3 linked regions of the Arabidopsis thaliana genome follow. The protein of the gene in region 3 interacts with the protein of the main gene of each other region in a biochemical or structural test. Each region holds a gene or a part of one and is shown on either strand. Other genes may lie near its edges.

Region 1 (6,952 bases), 2.4 Mb from region 3:
ATTCCCTCGGGGAGGCGAATATTGCATCGACGACTCCGTTCATAATTTTCTTCATCTTTGATTCGATCGCACTCTTCATCTCCTTAGCGGTCGTGGTGGTTCAGACATCAGTGGTGGTAATAGAGAGCAAGGCCAAGAAACAGATGATGGCTGTGATAAACAAACTCATGTGGCTTGCCTGTGTTCTCATCTCTGTTGCCTTTTTGGCTTTGTCGTTTGTTGTTGTTGGTGAAGAAGAGAAGTGGCTAGCCATTTGGGTGACTGCTATCGGGGCAACTATAATGATTACGACGTTAGGGACGATGTGCTACTGGATAATACAGCACAAGATCGAAGCTGCCAATTTAAGAAACATTAGAAGATCCTCCATCAACAGTATATCTGGATCCTGGGGGATTCCCCAGCTTACGGATTCTGATATTCTCCAGAACGAGTGTAAGAAAATGTATGCAATCTGACTTGACGATACTCAATCCGTTTTCACATTTATGTACACGGCAAGAACTTGATGTACCTTTTTCTGATACGGTTGATTCAATGAGTTGATGCGGGTGAAGCACTGGTATGGAGGAGTTACCTGAGATGCTTCGAACAGGAGAAATCGAATAAGGATTAGAGCAGAAAGGAAGAGAGTAACATTAATGTAACACCGATTCTAAATGGGGGAAGAAATGTGCATTGGTTTAACCTATAGCATGAAGAATTTCAGCTATATATGATCAACAACAAAAGTTACCAGGAGTTAAATAAACCAAAAAGCTAAATTCCGAGAAAAATACATGTTGGATACTGGTTCCTGTTCTATGAATTTCCTAACCAATGGATACTTTGGTAGGAAAGTTACATTATAAATACTGAAGAAGGCATAGTTTACACTCAATGTTGAGAATCTTGAGAAATGGATGGTCTTTTTTCCAGCATCTCGTAATAGAGAACAAAATTTTCCTGCAAAGAAATGATTTTGGGGTATTCTTCAGAGGCCAAATGAAGAAAGATACGATGAGCAGAATTTGGATGTACTCACCTTTTGAACGATCTCAAATGAGTTTGGATCAAAACAGTGATATGATCCTCTTTCATACGCATTTGTTTTCACGAGAGGTTCCCCGATTCTAATGAACCACAACCTGTGTTCTTTGTGGTAGAACCAACCCCTATTGTAACTGCAAAACAATAAGAGTTATGCAGCTTTATCCTTCAGTGCATTGCAATCTGATACCAAACCAGGAAATTAAGACAGAAACCCATTTTCAAGTCATGGAGAAGAAAGATGGAATCAAAAGTTGATGTTTTGCTTTCATATTCCCTTTCTTTTTCAAATGTGAAGACAAATTCATCTTCAATCTATATTCCAAGTTTAATATATGACAACTGTGAACAAAAAACTCCGAAGAAGCATTTTCATATTTACAATACTAGAGAAACAAAAATATATTATGATGAAAAGGACTTACAGTTCATTAGCCGCATAGAGTTGCGCCTCATCTTTCGGCATGCTGCACGACAAAAATTGTTATGGTTCCTTTGACAAGAGAGTGAATCAACAAGTACTTTCAATTCCAAAGACATATACCTATAGAATACGTAAAACAATGTTTCTACCAATAATTTTGCAAAGAGCCCTTGCTGCATCCACCAAAAAAAAATTAAAAGTTAAAAACAGCTAATGAAAAGAAAACACAAACCCAGATGGACAAATGAATGATGGTACTGATGAGAGACTAGAGTAAATTACATGTAGAGGTGGAGGGTTTTTTGCGTAGTAACACTGCGGTACACTGAATTCTGGATCAACTTTAGAGGGTTCATTGGACCAAGGCGAGCCAAAAGTCTTATGAAGATTTTCTGTTGAGTTCAAATTTAACCCCAGTGTTGTCAGATCAATACCAAGTGCCAAAGAAGTCAAGTCAGGGTCGCTCATCTTTATCACACTGAGCAAACCGAGTAAGCCAAACCGATCAGGATTTGACTGTGTCGATTGCATTGATTTTAATCCTACATCTCTGAAAGGTTGGCTAGCAGCTGACATCTGCTGCAAGCGATACTGGGCTGAGTTCTGTTGGTGCTGATATTGCTGGATGAGCTGCTGGTCATAACCCATCCCAGTGATAGAATTTGCAGAATTCATAGATCTTAATCCAATACCCGGAGCTCCACCAGTCTGAAACCAATCAAATATACCTTAGAAAGAACAAGAACGTTGGTTTCATGAAATAAAACCTTAAATGATCTCCGCCTGTTTTAAAATATTACAGACTACATCATACCTGTGAGTGGTAAGGCGGATGCGAAGATGAGAAGATGTCAGACCCATGTAAGGAAACACCACTACTACTCACAGCTTGAGCATGTTGTTGCTGTTGTTGAGGACGGTGTGATGTATATGCTCCACCTAAGTTAAACCCACCAGACCTTCCCATCTGCAAGGAGCCGCACTAGAGGATAAGGTAAATGTTTTGAGGAAAACTTTCAATGGAAGAGAATTAAACCCAATGACATTTTTTGACAAGCTACTCACAGATAATTGTTGAGATTGCATCATTAAAACTGAGTTCTCATGGAGTTGTTCTTTATGATGCAAATCCATTGGATAATCAGCACTACTACCTGTATAAAACCGATCAATCTTGTCATGACTGATGACTATACCTTAATCTAAAATCTATTTATACGAACAACAAATAATTTGAATGCAGACACCATGAACGTGTTGGAAAATTTAATAGACAGACTCTGTACTAGTATTATGATGAGATATTAAGAGAGTAATGTCACATTGGATCATGCAGATCATTAGTAATTCAGCTGGGTGTGATTACAAAATCACTCTCAAATCTCTCAACACCAAATATTATGCGAATGTGGAAGGTAGATGGTTCCTTTTGGGGTATGAATGTCAAATTCCATAATGCACACAAATATGACCCAAATTGAGACAATTTCTATCCAGTTGGACCATTTTAAAAAAGTTGCAGATCAGAAGGGTGACCTTTGTATCCTGGCAATGCTGGAAAATCTTCATTTTGGATGCTGAACTCTTGGTTTTGCTGAACTATAGGGCTGATTCCAAGGCCTTGTTTCAATCGAGACCCTAAGAAGTTTCAGAAAACAGCGGAGTATAGTTTTGCTTCAAACCAATAAAAGAAAGAAGATAGAATTAAAGGGTTTTTCTTACTTACCCAATTGTCCTTGACTGCCCGCAGAGCTGGGGCGGCTTGTGAGCTGAGGAAAATCATTATTAATATCAAACGGAGAAGTGTCGTTGGAGTTCATATCATTCAGCAAACCCATAGAGCTTAGACTGTTCATTGCTTGAACATGATTTTGGGAAAGTCCTCCAGCTGAAGGGTAAGAATTTCCCAGCATCGAAAGAACCTGCGGAGATCCTGAAGAGAAAGGAAAGAATATAAGAGTGTAAAGATATCATAAACGATGTGACGAAACGAGAAATTTGGGGAAAACATGAGGCCATTTGGTTACTGGAGTTCGACTGATTAGGAAATTCAAACAAAATCATGAGTTATTCGATTAATGATTTCTAAATACTAGTAGAAATCCGGTGTTGTTCATTTAATGATAAAGGATTTAACATCAATACTAACGGAATTGTAAATCAACTAAAACCATACAAATGCATAACCTATTTCAACAAAGAGCAGAAAAGGATATAAATCATGAAGTACCTTGTGGCAAGACCCCACCCATCATGCGATTTTGTCCAATATTTCCGGATCCGCTATTTACTGCCAAATTTAGCCGCGAACCAAGACTCGGAATCGACAATCCTCCACCAGAGCTCAAAGTCCTACCCATTGTGCCTCCACCAACCATATTCCCCATAGAACTCGTCATTCGAGAACCTACATTTCCCAATATTGGAGAAACTCCCAATCCTGGAACAGTAAACCAATTACCAATGGTGGTAGAGGTAGGAAGAGTTCAGGAATGGAACCACCCTATTAGTGTAACTACTGAATTAAGGTTTTCCAACAGTATTTATACCTCCCCTATTAGTGAGTCCTGAGTGTCCATGGGAGCTACCATGAGACATCTGCAAATAAGAATCCAAAAGAAAACTTTTAAGCAGAGCCAAAGCAAGGGTTCATATTTGCATTATTTTTAGGATACCAACACATAAGCATAACTGCACCTGAGAGAGTGCAACCGGAATATTGCTGGATGCAAATCTTCCATTCGAAATACTTCCATTTTGTTGTTGGACACCAGCAGATGGAACACCATTTAGACTTGAATTTCTCGATCCAAGACTTCCCGCCAAGTTGGGAACATTAAAGTTTCCATGAATATTATGAAGGCCCTGAATAGATCCTATAAAAAGAAAAAAACCAATATAAGTTCAGAAGAATTACGAAAGAAATAGCGCCGGAGACGTCTACCCACCAGCATGATGAAAAACTGGAGACGCTGCCCCAGACTGACCGGAGAAAGAAGAAGTAAACGTCCTCCCTGAACCGTCTGACAAATTCGAGGTAGACCCGTTTATTGAGGACTGAGGATATCATTGAAATAACCACAAGTCAGAACGACTGATAAACATTATTTATCCTAGAAGCTACATTGACAATACTGCAACACACTGATATAAAGATATGTGGAAGAAGTACATTAAGTAAACTTGACATTTGCAGAGATTAATCAACTCCAGAAGCAAAAGTTCATAAGCAAACCAAGCAGGAACCCTTCAGTGAGCTCAGGAATGTGAGATTGCAGTCGTGACCTGAAAAGAAGGATTATATGGTGAGACAGTAAATACATGGAAAGGAACAAACTTTGGATTCATCACAGAACTATAAACAGTAAAACTTCAACGTATCTGAATCATACATTACAAACAATCAAAACCCTTTCAACAACCGATCAAGGGTTCAAGAGAAAGTTTAACCATTGCGAAATCGGAAAATAAACAAAAACCCTAAAGCACTCAGATTTATAATCAGCAGTCAAACGAAATTAGAACCTGATAAGAATATGGACCCAAAGGATGAACAAAGAAACTCAATCTCGAAGCTCCAAGGAACGAAATTCTCGAAGATGGAGAAGAAATCGGAATAAAAAAATCTGATCTTTTTGTACTACTGACCGTTTTTAGTCTTATGTGTTTAGGACCCCGTCCTCGGAGGCGAACAAATTAAAGGGACCTTTTTTTTCTCTACATAGTAATTTTATTTACTTTCAGGGTTTACTAGTAATTAACCATGTTATTAAGGTAAATTATCAATAATTATAGTGACTAATAAAATTAGGTTGACTATATCCGAATGAGATAGTTTCTTAATTGATCATCATACCATATGAGACAAGTTGCAATCTGGTTTAAAGATCTTGCGGGGACCAAAAATACTTATCAAGTAACCAAAACTAGTAAGCTGTCACTGCAGATTTTGCACATATATACTATAAGTATGTGGGTTATGAAGACATAAAGGCAAACAAACAAAAGAAAGAGATCAAAATGTTGCATCTGTCTTATTCAGTATGACATCTTACAAGAAGAAGGATGATGCTGTGTTGTTCAATATAAGTTACATCATATTCAATGATTTGGGAAAGGTAACCCAAAGAGTGCGGTTTTGTCGAATGTTCTTCAAGATTCCGAGGATGTATATTTGAGAATAGCTGCGTCGATCCTCTCCTTGTCTCTAGTTGCAAATGATTCTAAGAGAACTCCGTTTTTGTAGAAGTGGAAGAGAGGAACCGCCTGTAAGATTGTAGTATATCAAACTCTTTACTACGCTGTTCAGTTAATTTTTGAGTGTTGTTAGTACCAAAATTCTAAAGAGGGATTACCTTGATACGGAGCCTTTCTGCGACTTCAGATTGTTCATCATATTCATCTACCACCTGCAAATAGCAGCATTAGAGCTATTAATGGATTTTTTCTCTACTTCTTTATTGTTTATACATCAAAGATGAGAGATCAGAAACTCACATTATGCTTAAGGAAGATAACAGGAGCTTCTTGGTCACCAGATTGCTTGCACAGTTTTGAGAAGCCCTGCTCTATGTATTTACAACTCCCACATGCAGTGCGATAAAAATCAACCACAACCAAAGAATTAGTTTCTTTCGACTTTTCAAGAACGCTAAGCAATTCATCATCTGTCTTGAACTCAGTGACACACTCCACAGGACATAGATCATCATTTTCATCAGATAACTCCACTAGGTTTTCCTGACTTAAGCTTTTTGCTATCCCACGCTGAAGCGTACAACCCATAGTGATGTTTATAGAAGACTCGGCTCTTGGAAACGACAACCTGACTCCGTTGTTGTGCCAGACCCATCTATGGTTTTCAACAGTGTTTATGCCTCCCCTACTAGTGAGTCCTGAGTATCCATGATAGCTACAGTGAGATATCTGCAAATTAGAATCAAAAATCAAAATTTTGAAGCAGAACCAAAGCAGGGGGGTCATCTTTGCATTGAAATAATCCTAGAAGTTACATAGGTAATAGTGATATAAAGGATATGTGGCAGTACATTAAGAAGACTTGACATTTGCAGATATTTAAACTAACTCCACAAGCAATAGCTCATCAGCAAACCAAGCAGGAACACTTTCAGTGAACTCAGGGGTGAAAGATAGCACTCGTAGTTGGTTGAGTGGCCTGAAACGAAGAATTCAATGGTGAGGCATGAAAATAACCAAAACAGAGATATGACATGTAAAGGGAACAACTTTGAATCCGAGTACAACACAGAGTTCTAAACGGTACAAGATCAACGCATCTGAAGCATAAATTTCAAGCAATGACCCCAAAATCTAAACCCTTTCGGCAACTAGATGGGGATTAAGACAAAACATGGAATGAACCTTCTAATGTCAGCAAATCAGATTAAGGATTCAACTGAAAGATCAACCATCCCCAAATCGGCAAAAACCCTAAAGCAATCAGAATTGTAATCTACTCACCCGTCAATACTATGGACC
Region 2 (7,021 bases), on a different chromosome or scaffold from region 3:
CCAAAAATGCTTGGAATGAGAGACATTGTTCGTTGCTTTTCGGGAGACTTTTGGTTCTTGATTTTCCTGCTGATTTGATCTGATTAGCAAAGGACATATTTATAGGGAAGTTAGAGGATGAAGAGAGAATGTTCTTCGAGTTTCTTGAATAGAATAGAAAATGCTCCTTTTTCTAAAACCTTCGCTTGGAGTCTTTAGAACACATACACAATGATCACTGTGGTGAAATGACCAGATTTTTCTTGGCATTTCAGGAAGTTTCGTTTGTTGAAACAAGACCGAAATGCAATCCTTGGTTACAATTAAAACTACGTGCCGTTTTGCTTTGTTGTTGTATTATCCTCTTCGAGATACGGGCTCAGTGAAGCGGATCTTCTTTGCAAAAGCCCATTTCTTAATAGGTCGGAAGTGGAATTTAAGAAAATCTAACTCAGAGAAAAGAGGACAAAATCAAGATTTAAGATTATTAGCTTTTCGCCAAAGGAAAACTATAGTAAGTTCTCGCAATAACAGTTGGCACTAAATTTCCGAGAATGTCAACAATCTTTTAATGGATTTTTTTGTCTCCATATATACAAGAACTGAGCCACGTTTTTGTGACAAACATAGACAACATATTTACTAAACAAGTAAACTAAAAAAAAAAAAAATCTAAATGATTCGATTCAAGTATCAGTTACTGTGATCAAAATCTCAACTTATTTATTGCCTGTTCATGTCATGCTTGAACCAGAAGAAATGACCATGGAAAGTAATTGTGATTACCTTTTTGGGAAACTTGGGGTTAAAAATTGAAAATGTGATATGTCATGGTTTTGGTTTCTAATCAATAGAACTTGCATGAAAGAAAGAAAGAAAGAGAAATGAAGAGAAAAGCTTTACATTGTAAAGATGCTACTAATTGAACAAACCTACTTGTCGTCAAAGCTGCAGCAAGCTTGGTCTCTTTTCCATAAGCTCGTACTTGATAACAAAATGTTCCTGCGATAACCATCACCAGCAAAATTCACTCATAACACTGCAAATTCGAGAACAAGGAAATAGATATTCCTGCAATAATCGTCGGCTTACCTTTCTCACTGTTTTGAACGAATTTGGATCAAGGTATTCGTATGTTCCTCTTTCATATGTAGCTGCCCTGACTAAAGGTTCCCCGACTCTGAAGAACCATACTCTGAGTTCCTTGTGGTAAAACCAACCTCTTTCGTAACTGCAACATGTCAATCGAACTCAAAAGTCTCAGCCAAAGAGAGCGGAGTAAACGAATAGATCAAAGATTACAGTAGAGAAAAAACATACAGTTCATCTGCTGCGTACAGCTGTGCTTCATCTTTTGGCATACTGGAACAATAATTAGAGCAAAGTAATAAGTTTAAAAGCCCAAGGTTAATTTAGGAGTTGGGCAAATGTGACGCTGAATGCTGATCTAATAACAGACCTGTAAAATGTGTAGAACAATAACTCGTAGGAGAACCTTTTGAAACTAGCTCGCTGCAACAAACGGAAATAATGACACATTTGTTAACAAAATCGAGAAAATACTTTGTTGGTACTACTCGCAACAACAGAGGGAACTTACAGTTAGAGGCGGAGGTTCTGTGGCGTAGTAACAATTTGGTACTGTGAACTCGACCTCGCTCTTTGCCGGTTCATTTGTCCAAGGAGACGCAAATGTCTTGTAGAGATTTCCAGTTGAATTCAAATCCAATCCTAGCGTCGTCAAGTCGATGCCAAGAGCAAGTGAGGTCAATTCAGGGTTGCTCCTGTTTAGTACGTCTAACAAGCCAAGCAAGCAAAAAGGATCTGCCTCTGACTGTGTCGATTTCATCTCAGAATCTCTAAATTGGTTGATTGATGACATCTGTTGCACAGGGAACTGGGATTGATTTTGATGTTGCTGATACTGCTGAATAAGCTGATCATAACCAATACTGGAAACTGCATTAGGCGAGCTTAGAGGTCTAAGGCCAAGACCCTGTAGCCCACCAGTCTGGTATTAAATAAGAATTAAATGATAAGATACGGTAGTTGGAGCAAGTGTGGCCCAACCACATGATGCAGTACCATAATAATATGAGATATGCAAATTGAAGAAAGTTCCGGCTTGTATACATATAGGGATAGGAGAGACTGCCACTCACAGATGAAGTATGTTGTGGCTGTTGTTGTGGACGATGTGATGAATATGTTGCTCCCAAGTTGAAACCACCAGATCTACCCATCTGCAAATTTGCAATATCCAAACATTAATTCACATCAACAACCATATCAACAGAAAAAGGCAGGACAACACTTTGTTAACTTCGAAACAGTCTAAAGCTTACAGAAAAGTTTTGAGAGTGCATCATTGACATAGCATTGTCATGCAGTTGTTCTTTTTGATGCAAATCCATAGGATACTCAGAATTACCACCTGCAACAAATCTACTACGCTTGTGAATGATCCAGCAGGTTTAGCTTACATCATTAAGAAGCACATCTTATCATCTTTCTCATGCAATAAGCTATAATATGAAGGAAGCTAAGAAGTTTATGAACTTGGAAACGGACTTTCATGAGATTTTGGAGAATAGCATAGAGGAAAACTTTTCAAGATAGGGGAAACTAGAGACGATATTCCTCACTACGTGCACATAAAGTCTGCAAGACCCAACTTTATGCACAATACAATACAAAGTTATCGACAATAAAAGACCAGCACCTTTATATCCAGGAAGGGCAGGAAAGTCTTCATTTTGGATGCTGAACTCCTGGTTTTGTTGGACAAGTGGAACTCCTAAACCTTGTTTCCTCAAAGAGCCTAAAAACACCACCGCAAGAGTATGAGGAAACAAGACATGATTTGGAAAATCTTTTCAAAAACTTATGTTATATTAAGTATATGAATTTCAAAAGATCTTCAGATAAACCGACTACCTAGATGTCCTTGAGTGCCACCAGCAGACCCAGGACGACTTGTCAGCTGGGGAAAATCGTTGTTGATGTCAAATAGAGAGCTGTCGTTAGGATGATCACTGAGCATCATATTGTTAACTGACTGAACATGATTCTGCGAAAGCGGGCCACCACCAGTATGATAGGAGTTCCCCAGCATAGACATGACCTGAGATCCTGTACCATACAATTTTACAATTAAATTTTTACTGCTATTTCCACATACAGCAGCTGCTAACTAATTGCATGTTTAATTAAATAAGATTTTGTGTAAAGTAAACAAGCTCGTCTTACAAAGTCCAAACAATCCCAGAGTACTGCTTTCTCTACATTCTAACGTACTCACGTGAGTCTAGAGAAGTATAGACTACAAAAGCAAAACAAGTTCAACTGCTGATATCAATCCTACCCCCTAAATGACTAATTATTCTAACTTATTTTCCACAGGACCTCCTAGCTACTAGACCAGTAAAAAGGTGTACTCCATGAAGCAATATATTCTATTTTATTTACAATGCTATAACAAGAAGTTAAACAAGGCTCGGCTCAGTTGTATCAAATGAAAGGCAAAAAAAACCTTGAAGACAGCAAATGGAAAGGACTCGATAAATCATATATACCTTGAGGAAGTACTCCACCCATCATTCGGTTCTGTCCCTGAACATTTAATCCTGATCCGCTATTTGCTGCCAAATTTAGTCGTGAAGACAGACCAGGAATAGACAATCCACCAGAGCTAATATTCCTCCCCAAGTTACCTCCACCAACCATGTTTCCCATTGAATTTGTTATTCGAGGACCTGAATTTCCCAACAATTGGGATATTCCCATCCCTGGAACACTATTCCGATTACTGAGTCCTGCAGATGTAGAGAGAATTCCAGGAATAGAACCACCAACTCCATTAGCGTTACTACTGAATCCAGGGTTGCCAACAACATTAAGACCTCTATTTGGGATTCCCGAATGCCCATGTGAGCTACCATGGGACAACTACAAAGCAATCATCGTATAATATAAGACACAGATTAAGAACAAGAGCCGTTTTTTCACAAAATTTTAAACAACATGCACCTGAGAGAGATTAACAGGTAGATTATTTGAAGCAAATCTTCCACTGGAAAAACTCCCATTAGGTTGTTGAACTCCGGCAGATGGTATACTATTCATACTTGAGTTTCTTGATGTAAGTGTACCTTGCATGTTCCCGACATTATAGTTCCCATGAATATTATGAAGTCCCTGAAGATTTCCTGCATGAAGAATATGTAGAAGTTATATAAGTTCAGAACGACGCAAAATATAGAAGAAGGTCAAGATAAGAATAACACCCACCAGTATGATGAAAAGAGGGAGACGGTGCACCAGATTGTCCAGAATAAGAAGCAGTAAACGATCTGCCCGAACCATCTGGTAAATTCGAAGCTGAACCATTGAGAGATGACTACAAAGGAAAGAGCACAAGAGTTGATGGATGAGAAATGGTACGCATAATTAAGCAAACGTTATCCTAAGCACACTAAAAATATTCTCAAGGTGAATAGGAAGGTACATGAAGGTTTGACATTGCACTAACTGACTGACAATCTCACGTGAGACAATGTATCATTCGGTGACAAGACGCGAAACCGCCTACAATCTGAGATGGAATAAACGATTACTCAGAAATGAATAGCCTGGAAAAAAGGAAGAATTCAATAAACCAAACAAAGGAGACATAAATCTTATCAACCATGGTGCAACAACAGACGAAGCTACTGTATAAACTACATATTGTTCAAAGTAAGATTGAAATTCTCATCCTTTGAAGGTTTATACACAGTAAACTTTCATCTAGAAACAAGAAGATAATGAATCAGCAACCATGAAATAAACTTCTAGCAGGAAATCAGAAGTCCAGGAAACGATTCAGAACAAGAAAAAAAAACCTCACGAGGATCCAATAAAGAAAAAAACAATCAAACGCAAGCGTAATTCAACAGTTGTAATAATACGACTGAGCAACAACACAGGATCCTAAATTCAGCTATCGCGATGCAAATTCAATAGTAAGATAACAAAATTGAACTCCGAAAACCCTAGAAATGACGTTGTTTAAATCTGTTCACACTCAACAGTAAAAAGGAGAAGGATGCGTACGGAGGAAGAAGAAGAAGAAGAAGAGAAACAGTGCCCAATTAGAAAACTCTGGAAGAAAAATTGAGAGAAAGGGTTAAGAAGAATCCGAAGAAGATTTTTCGTGAAGTTTCGTAAATTGGGAAGAAGCGGAGATTTTGATTCAATTTGGTGCCCTAAATCGGAAAACGGATATAGGAACGAGAGAAGAAGCAAGATTTAGAAAATTGGGATCGATAAATATTTTATTAAATAAAATAAATAAAGGAAACAAAATATAAATATTAGTTTTGTGCCGAATGATTGGTGATGGAGGGAACTTTCAGAGGTCACGACAGGCCCCACGAAACCTTCTTACTCAGAAAGAGTGTCTTTTGTAAGGAGAAAAATTCCTTATTTGCGGATCCATGTTTGGGCCTATTTGACCAGGCCCATTAGATACACGATTCACAATTTTACTTCCAAATCAAGAATGATGTTGATGTTTTACTTTGTGGAATCATGAAATCGTAGTGTAAAAGAAGAAATACTGAAGTAGGTGAATTCTGTTTACAAGATTACGAAGCCTAAATCAAACAAAACGACAAAATTGTGTGTTTTGAAGGTTGTAGTTAAAGCTAAAAGTGTTGAATAGTAACTATGCCTCTTATTCAGCTATGAATGCTAAGATGTTTTGTATTTAGTTAACATGAAAATGACGTTAGATCTTTCAAGATAATTAAAATAACGTCCATTAATGCAATTCAATCATATGATCTAAGCTTGTCAAAGTTTACAAAAAATAAGAAAAAGGCCGTTTCTTTAGAAGATAAGTTATTTTTGCATGGGCTTTAAAATATCACTAAGTAATCTTAGCACAACATACAACTCAATTTATGTTAATATGTGTAAATTTGAATTTTATGTTGTATTTGTTTTAAGTGAATCAATATAAACAAATCTAAAAGTCATTCTCCTTGCGACATCTCAACCAATTTTTATTTTATTCTTCTTGATTATGCTTTAACATAGTATAGAATTGTTGTTTCCACTGTCCAAACAAATGTGTCGGTAGACAACACAGGTCCACAAATATCATTTTAGGCTGAAACTATTTTGTACAACATATGATACATGCTTGAACTTGGATATTACACACGACACTAACACAAGCACTAGATTATGTAAATGATCATTTATACGTTGATATCCAAGAATTATATTATAAGTTCCCAATTGTCAAGAAAAACATAGTGGGCTCATCATATTATAGATAATTTTAGTAAATATAGCGACATCTTATCGATCCTTTCAGATAAACTCTATTGTATGTCATGTTCCATTTAGATGAAAAGTAGGGGCGGTTAATGTCGTCATTCTTCATTTATATCCAATCTAGAACTTCTAGATCTTTGACACATATATGTATGTGACCACCTCATTTCATTTAAAATCTTTAAGCTTCTGTTTCGTTTTGATTTATGAAAAATCTCAAGGCTAAGTAGTGTATGATACTTTAAGTATAAAACTTAATAGCTCAATTAACTAGTAACAAAAACTTGAAATGAGACTATTGTGACAAAAAAAAAAAAACTTGAAATGAACTTCCAACAGAACGAACATGGAATAGTAAACTCATGATAATCTATTTATAATGCATGAACAGATGCCGAAAAAAATCATGTGTCCCGTGCTTTCTTCATAAATATGGTCGGAAGTTTGGTATATCCTTAAAAAAAATTACACAACCTACATATGTTGACTTTTTTTCCAACCTCCACTACCATCCTTAATTTTTTGGAATAAAGAAAGTATATATTTGAGATTTAGCATATGTGACTGTGAGTGACGAACCGACGATTGCATACAAAAATGATATTATAATTATAATTATAATTAACAAGAAAAATATATAGTATTGTTGTAGAGAAAAAGTTAAATTATCGCTATTTCTTTACAGATTAAAAAGTGGTAATGTAACATACCCACTAAC
Region 3 (4,981 bases):
TCATGAGAATGGGATGGTAATAAAGAAAAAAATGACAGGAAACAATGAATTGGTCACGAAAAAATGTTGTATTACTTTTTCCAAAATGCACCTTTGAGAATCTTAAGATTCAATCATACAGTGAGGTCCATGTCCACAATAAGAAATCAAATACCAAACAAAGTATAAACGTGAATTGTAAGCTAGGCAGTGTATGAAGATGCATTTGTCTTAAAGTTACGAATCTGATAAATAATATTATTCGATCGACTTTAGATCGCTTTCCATGCAGATTTATGCAATTATCTGGAAGAAGAACAAAACAATATCTTAGTTTCTTCGGCCTCACTATTCGACTTCTATCTTCAATATATTTTCGCGTATTTTTTTATTTGAATTATTTGGTTTTTGGTTAGTTAACTAAACGAGCAACAGAACCAAGATCGAATTGCGTTTGCCGTTTGGATTCAATTATTGTAGAAAATTCGACTTTTCAGACATTTGTTACGTTCTTTCTAGTAGTTATATTAGTTATTATATGTGGAGTGGAAAGAGATGAAAGTAGATGTAAAACATAAGTGATTTCTTCATAGTGATTTTAAAACTTTTTGTTGATTTTCAAAATTATATAATATCCATAAAAAATAGCCTATGCGTGTTGGATGCTTACAAAGAAGAATTTGTTTTCGGCGTTAGCCAAAAGTCGATGGCATTTGCTAAAGGTGTTATTTGAGTGGAAATGATCTAGAACAAAAACGCATTGATATACCACCACTATAATGATTTGGAGACGTATCTAGTTCTCATCAACTTTTCAATAGTAAACGCATTATCAAGGTAAACGAAGAGTTTTGCTTTATCAGTGTACCATACACACATTAATAGATTGATGGACGTTAGTGACTTTGGTATTGACTTTAACGCCAAATGGACATCAATTCTGCAAGGCAATGCCTAGTTTCAAAGCAGCGTTACTTAACATTTAACTAAAGGTAGTGCAAACTGGTTAATACTTTTTAACGGCTTTGCAGGAAGAGTCTCGACTAAAAGGAGAGGAAGAGATGAGATCGACGAAGATTTTCATATCATAAAAAGTAATATAGGTTTTTGAAAATAGTTAGAATAATTATTTTTATTTTTATTTTTATGGGAAAGAAGTTGCACGAGTCGGTCCACAGAATGACAGAACAAAAGCATTTTAGAAGTTTAGAACCAACCAATCACTATAGTTTTCCACTTGTCCGTATCTCATTGGTTCATCGAATATTAACTTACATGGAAACAGTAAAAAGCGTGGAATAAGTCGTAAAACTGAAATCTAAAAATGAAAAGATTTCGATTTCGATATAAATACTTAATCTTTATAAAATAATATCGAAATCTTTTCATTTTTAGTTTTCAGTTTTACACTTTTACTTGATAAATTTAATACATCTGTTAATTTTTTTTCTTCTAAAATTAACATATGATATCTATTCGGGAGATAACCCTAAGAAAACTGATAAAATAAATAAGTTACTTTTTACAAAGTCGAATAAATTATTTACCCTTCTGCTTTAATGGCAATTATCTTAATATTGCAAAAAAAAAAAGAGAGAAATATTACTACAAAACAGAAGCAAGCAAGTGGAAAACAGACCAGAAGAGAGAGGAAGACGAAGAGAGAAACAGAACAGAGTAGGGATCGATAGACCGTGGAATCTCAGAATCACAAACACTTTGCAAAAGGGTTTTCAATTCCTATTTATTTACAAAGAAATCATCAATAGTAGTGGTCTCTAGGGTTTTGCTTGCTCTTCTTCGTGACCCCTTTTTACCTGCAAACAACAACTTCAAAATTGGCGTGTTTCGTACGGTCTATCTAACCCTAATCTGTCACAAAACACTCTTCTTCTCTCACCCCTTTTTCTGGGTTTATTCAATTCTCGTGCTTTTGGTTCTGTTTTCTTCTCTGGGGATTTGGTTTTCTTGAGTGAGTTTTTCTCCTCTTTCTTATGTTCTTGATTTGATTATTATATAGAATTATGGTAATGGAGGATGAGCCTAGAGAAGCCACAATAAAGCCTTCTTATTGGCTAGATGCTTGCGAGGACATCTCTTGTGATCTTATCGATGATCTCGTGTCTGAATTTGATCCTTCCTCTGTTGCTGTCAATGAATCCACTGATGAAAACGGCGTCATCAATGATTTTTTCGGTGGGATTGATCACATTTTAGATAGTATCAAGAACGGTGGAGGCTTACCAAACAATGGCGTTTCTGATACCAATTCTCAAATCAACGAGGTTACTGTAACTCCTCAGGTTATTGCTAAGGAGACAGTGAAGGAGAATGGGTTGCAAAAGAATGGCGGTAAGAGAGACGAATTCTCGAAAGAGGAAGGAGACAAGGATAGGAAGAGAGCTAGGGTTTGTAGTTATCAGAGTGAAAGGAGTAACCTTTCAGGTAGAGGGCATGTTAATAATTCTAGGGAGGGAGATAGGTTTATGAATAGGAAACGTACTCGTAATTGGGACGAGGCGGGTAACAATAAGAAGAAAAGGGAATGTAACAATTACAGAAGAGATGGTAGAGATAGAGAAGTTAGGGGTTATTGGGAGAGGGATAAAGTTGGTTCCAATGAGTTGGTTTATAGGTCAGGGACTTGGGAAGCTGATCATGAAAGAGATGTTAAGAAAGTGAGTGGTGGAAACCGCGAATGCGATGTCAAGGCAGAGGAGAACAAGAGTAAGCCTGAAGAACGTAAAGAGAAGGTTGTGGAAGAGCAAGCAAGGCGATACCAGTTGGATGTTCTTGAACAAGCTAAAGCGAAAAACACGATTGCTTTCCTTGAGACCGGTGCTGGAAAGACACTTATCGCGATTCTTCTTATTAAAAGTGTTCATAAGGATCTGATGAGCCAGAACAGAAAAATGCTCTCGGTGTTCTTGGTTCCCAAAGTGCCTTTGGTTTATCAGGTACCGCCTAATAAGAAACATGTTTGTATTCTTTTTTAAAAAATTGGTTACCTATTGGTTTTGGTTGGTTGATTTATCTTACGTTATCAGCAAGCAGAAGTGATCCGTAATCAAACTTGTTTTCAAGTTGGACATTATTGTGGTGAGATGGGACAGGACTTTTGGGATTCTCGAAGGTGGCAACGAGAGTTTGAGTCTAAGCAGGTTGCTTTTTGATGCTTCTTTTTCATACCAGCTTTGATCTTTTATATGAATCAGTTCTTGAAGTTAACGAGTTTTTTTCTATTTTCTTCTACGCAGGTTCTAGTTATGACAGCACAAATTCTGTTGAATATACTGAGACACAGTATCATTAGAATGGAAACAATTGATCTTCTTATTCTCGACGAGTGTCACCACGCTGTCAAGAAACATCCATACTCTTTAGTGATGTCAGAGTTTTACCATACAACTCCTAAAGATAAAAGACCTGCCATCTTTGGAATGACTGCTTCGCCTGTTAATTTAAAGGGTACTGATTGTTTCTTGTATACAGTTCTCTAAGCTTGCCAATGTTCTTGAAAGTGACACTTTTTGTTTGTAAACGTAGGTGTTTCAAGCCAAGTAGATTGTGCGATAAAGATACGTAACCTCGAGACCAAGTTGGATTCTACGGTTTGTACTATAAAAGATCGAAAAGAATTAGAGAAACATGTGCCTATGCCTTCAGAGATAGTCGTCGAGTATGACAAAGCTGCTACTATGTGGTCTCTTCATGAGACAATAAAGCAAATGATTGCAGCTGTTGAAGAAGCGGCACAAGCAAGTTCAAGGAAAAGCAAGTGGCAATTTATGGGGGCTAGGGATGCTGGAGCAAAGGATGAATTGAGACAGGTTTATGGCGTCTCTGAAAGAACGGAGAGCGATGGTGCTGCCAATTTGATTCATAAACTTAGAGCTATCAATTATACTCTTGCTGAATTGGGTCAATGGTGTGCTTACAAGGTAAAAAAACAACTTAGTAAATAGTTTTCGATAATTTGAAATGGATATGTTATTTTCATATGATATAATTTTTGTGTCTTCTTTCAAGGTGGGACAATCATTCTTGTCTGCTTTGCAAAGTGATGAGAGGGTGAATTTCCAAGTCGACGTGAAGTTTCAAGAATCATACCTCAGTGAGGTGGTGTCACTCTTGCAATGTGAGCTTCTGGAAGGCGCTGCTGCTGAAAAAGTCGCGGCGGAAGTTGGCAAACCAGAAAATGGTAATGCACATGACGAGATGGAGGAGGGAGAGCTCCCTGATGATCCTGGTAAGTATTAATCACATTCTTTGTCTAATCGCTTTTTACCGGTTTTAGAAATCCAATATTAACAGAGCTCTATGGTTTTAGTGGTCTCGGGAGGGGAGCACGTTGATGAAGTAATAGGCGCCGCAGTGGCTGATGGGAAAGTTACTCCAAAAGTACAATCATTGATCAAACTACTCCTCAAATATCAGCACACAGCTGATTTTCGAGCTATTGTTTTCGTTGAGAGGGTGGTTGCTGCTTTGGTTCTTCCTAAGGTTAGGATTAAAGTGAAAAAAACAATTTATTTTCTTGTGTATAATTTTTCTGCCTATGTCTCTCTGAGCCTGGAAATTTTCAGGTTTTTGCGGAGCTGCCTTCGCTTAGTTTTATACGGTGTGCCAGCATGATTGGACACAATAACAGCCAGGAGATGAAATCATCTCAAATGCAGGATACAATTTCCAAATTCCGAGATGGGCATGTATGATTTTTTTTGTCTTTCATTAAGACATATTTTTTTTTTATCTTATACTGAAATGTCTTACTATTTCCTCTTTCTACTGTGATAGGTGACACTGTTAGTTGCCACAAGCGTTGCTGAGGAAGGACTTGATATTAGGCAATGTAACGTTGTTATGCGTTTCGACCTTGCAAAGACGGTGCTGGCATACATTCAGTCTCGTGGCCGGGCAAGAAAGCCTGGATCAGACTACATACTCATGGTTGAGAGGTACATAAAAAGCTTTAAGAACTACATTTTGATTTTTGTAACTA

Evidence for each region. The genes of interacting proteins can lie anywhere in the genome.
Region 1: the proteins of DCL1 (region 3) and AT1G07705 form a complex in vitro, tested with the Arabidopsis thaliana proteins (one study listed by BioGRID).
Region 2: the proteins of DCL1 (region 3) and VIP2 form a complex in vitro, tested with the Arabidopsis thaliana proteins (one study listed by BioGRID).

Annotation. Positions count from the first base shown.
Region 1 is NC_003070.9:2,379,781-2,386,732, reverse strand, and holds AT1G07705 (NOT2 / NOT3 / NOT5 family), read right to left. Parts: upstream 5,179-6,952; 5' UTR 4,979-5,178; intron 4,739-4,978; 5' UTR 4,644-4,738; coding exon 4,626-4,643; intron 4,511-4,625; coding exon 4,402-4,510; intron 4,330-4,401; coding exon 4,151-4,329; intron 4,052-4,150; coding exon 4,003-4,051; intron 3,894-4,002; coding exon 3,684-3,893; intron 3,387-3,683; coding exon 3,180-3,386; intron 3,092-3,179; coding exon 2,990-3,091; intron 2,608-2,989; coding exon 2,519-2,607; intron 2,421-2,518; coding exon 2,268-2,420; intron 2,162-2,267; coding exon 1,736-2,161; intron 1,627-1,735; coding exon 1,574-1,626; intron 1,497-1,573; coding exon 1,455-1,496; coding exon of another isoform or gene 1,451-1,454; exon of another isoform or gene 1,164-1,450; coding exon 1,025-1,163; intron 946-1,024; coding exon 877-945; 3' UTR 576-876; downstream 1-575. Other genes in the region: AT1G07710 (Ankyrin repeat family protein), read left to right, coding at 1-458; AT1G07700 (Thioredoxin superfamily protein), read right to left, coding at 5,606-5,719, 5,809-5,862, 5,951-6,436.
Region 2 is NC_003076.8:24,055,637-24,062,657, reverse strand, and holds VIP2 (VIRE2 interacting protein 2), read right to left. Parts: upstream 5,281-7,021; 5' UTR 4,502-5,280; coding exon 4,487-4,501; intron 4,379-4,486; coding exon 4,270-4,378; intron 4,188-4,269; coding exon 4,009-4,187; intron 3,928-4,008; coding exon 3,555-3,927; intron 3,112-3,554; coding exon 2,917-3,111; intron 2,801-2,916; coding exon 2,702-2,800; intron 2,414-2,701; coding exon 2,325-2,413; intron 2,223-2,324; coding exon 2,142-2,222; intron 1,991-2,141; coding exon 1,580-1,990; intron 1,492-1,579; coding exon 1,439-1,491; intron 1,342-1,438; coding exon 1,300-1,341; coding exon of another isoform or gene 1,278-1,299; exon of another isoform or gene 1,236-1,277; intron 1,211-1,235; coding exon 1,072-1,210; intron 982-1,071; coding exon 922-981; 3' UTR 576-921; downstream 1-575. Other genes in the region: HSP18.2 (heat shock protein 18.2), read right to left, coding at 1-26. UniProt on the Arabidopsis thaliana protein: Transcriptional regulator required for Agrobacterium-mediated stable genetic transformation by T-DNA integration in host genome, but not for T-DNA transient expression.
Region 3 is NC_003070.9:21,516-26,496, forward strand, and holds the start of DCL1 (dicer-like 1), read left to right. Parts: upstream 1-1,900; 5' UTR 1,901-2,003; coding exon 2,004-2,936; intron 2,937-3,026; coding exon 3,027-3,140; intron 3,141-3,236; coding exon 3,237-3,447; intron 3,448-3,525; coding exon 3,526-3,920; intron 3,921-4,008; coding exon 4,009-4,228; intron 4,229-4,309; coding exon 4,310-4,482; intron 4,483-4,565; coding exon 4,566-4,688; intron 4,689-4,776; coding exon 4,777-4,937; intron 4,938-4,981. UniProt on the Arabidopsis thaliana protein: Ribonuclease (RNase) III involved in RNA-mediated post-transcriptional gene silencing (PTGS). Functions in the microRNAs (miRNAs) biogenesis pathway by cleaving primary miRNAs (pri-miRNAs) and precursor miRNAs (pre-miRNAs).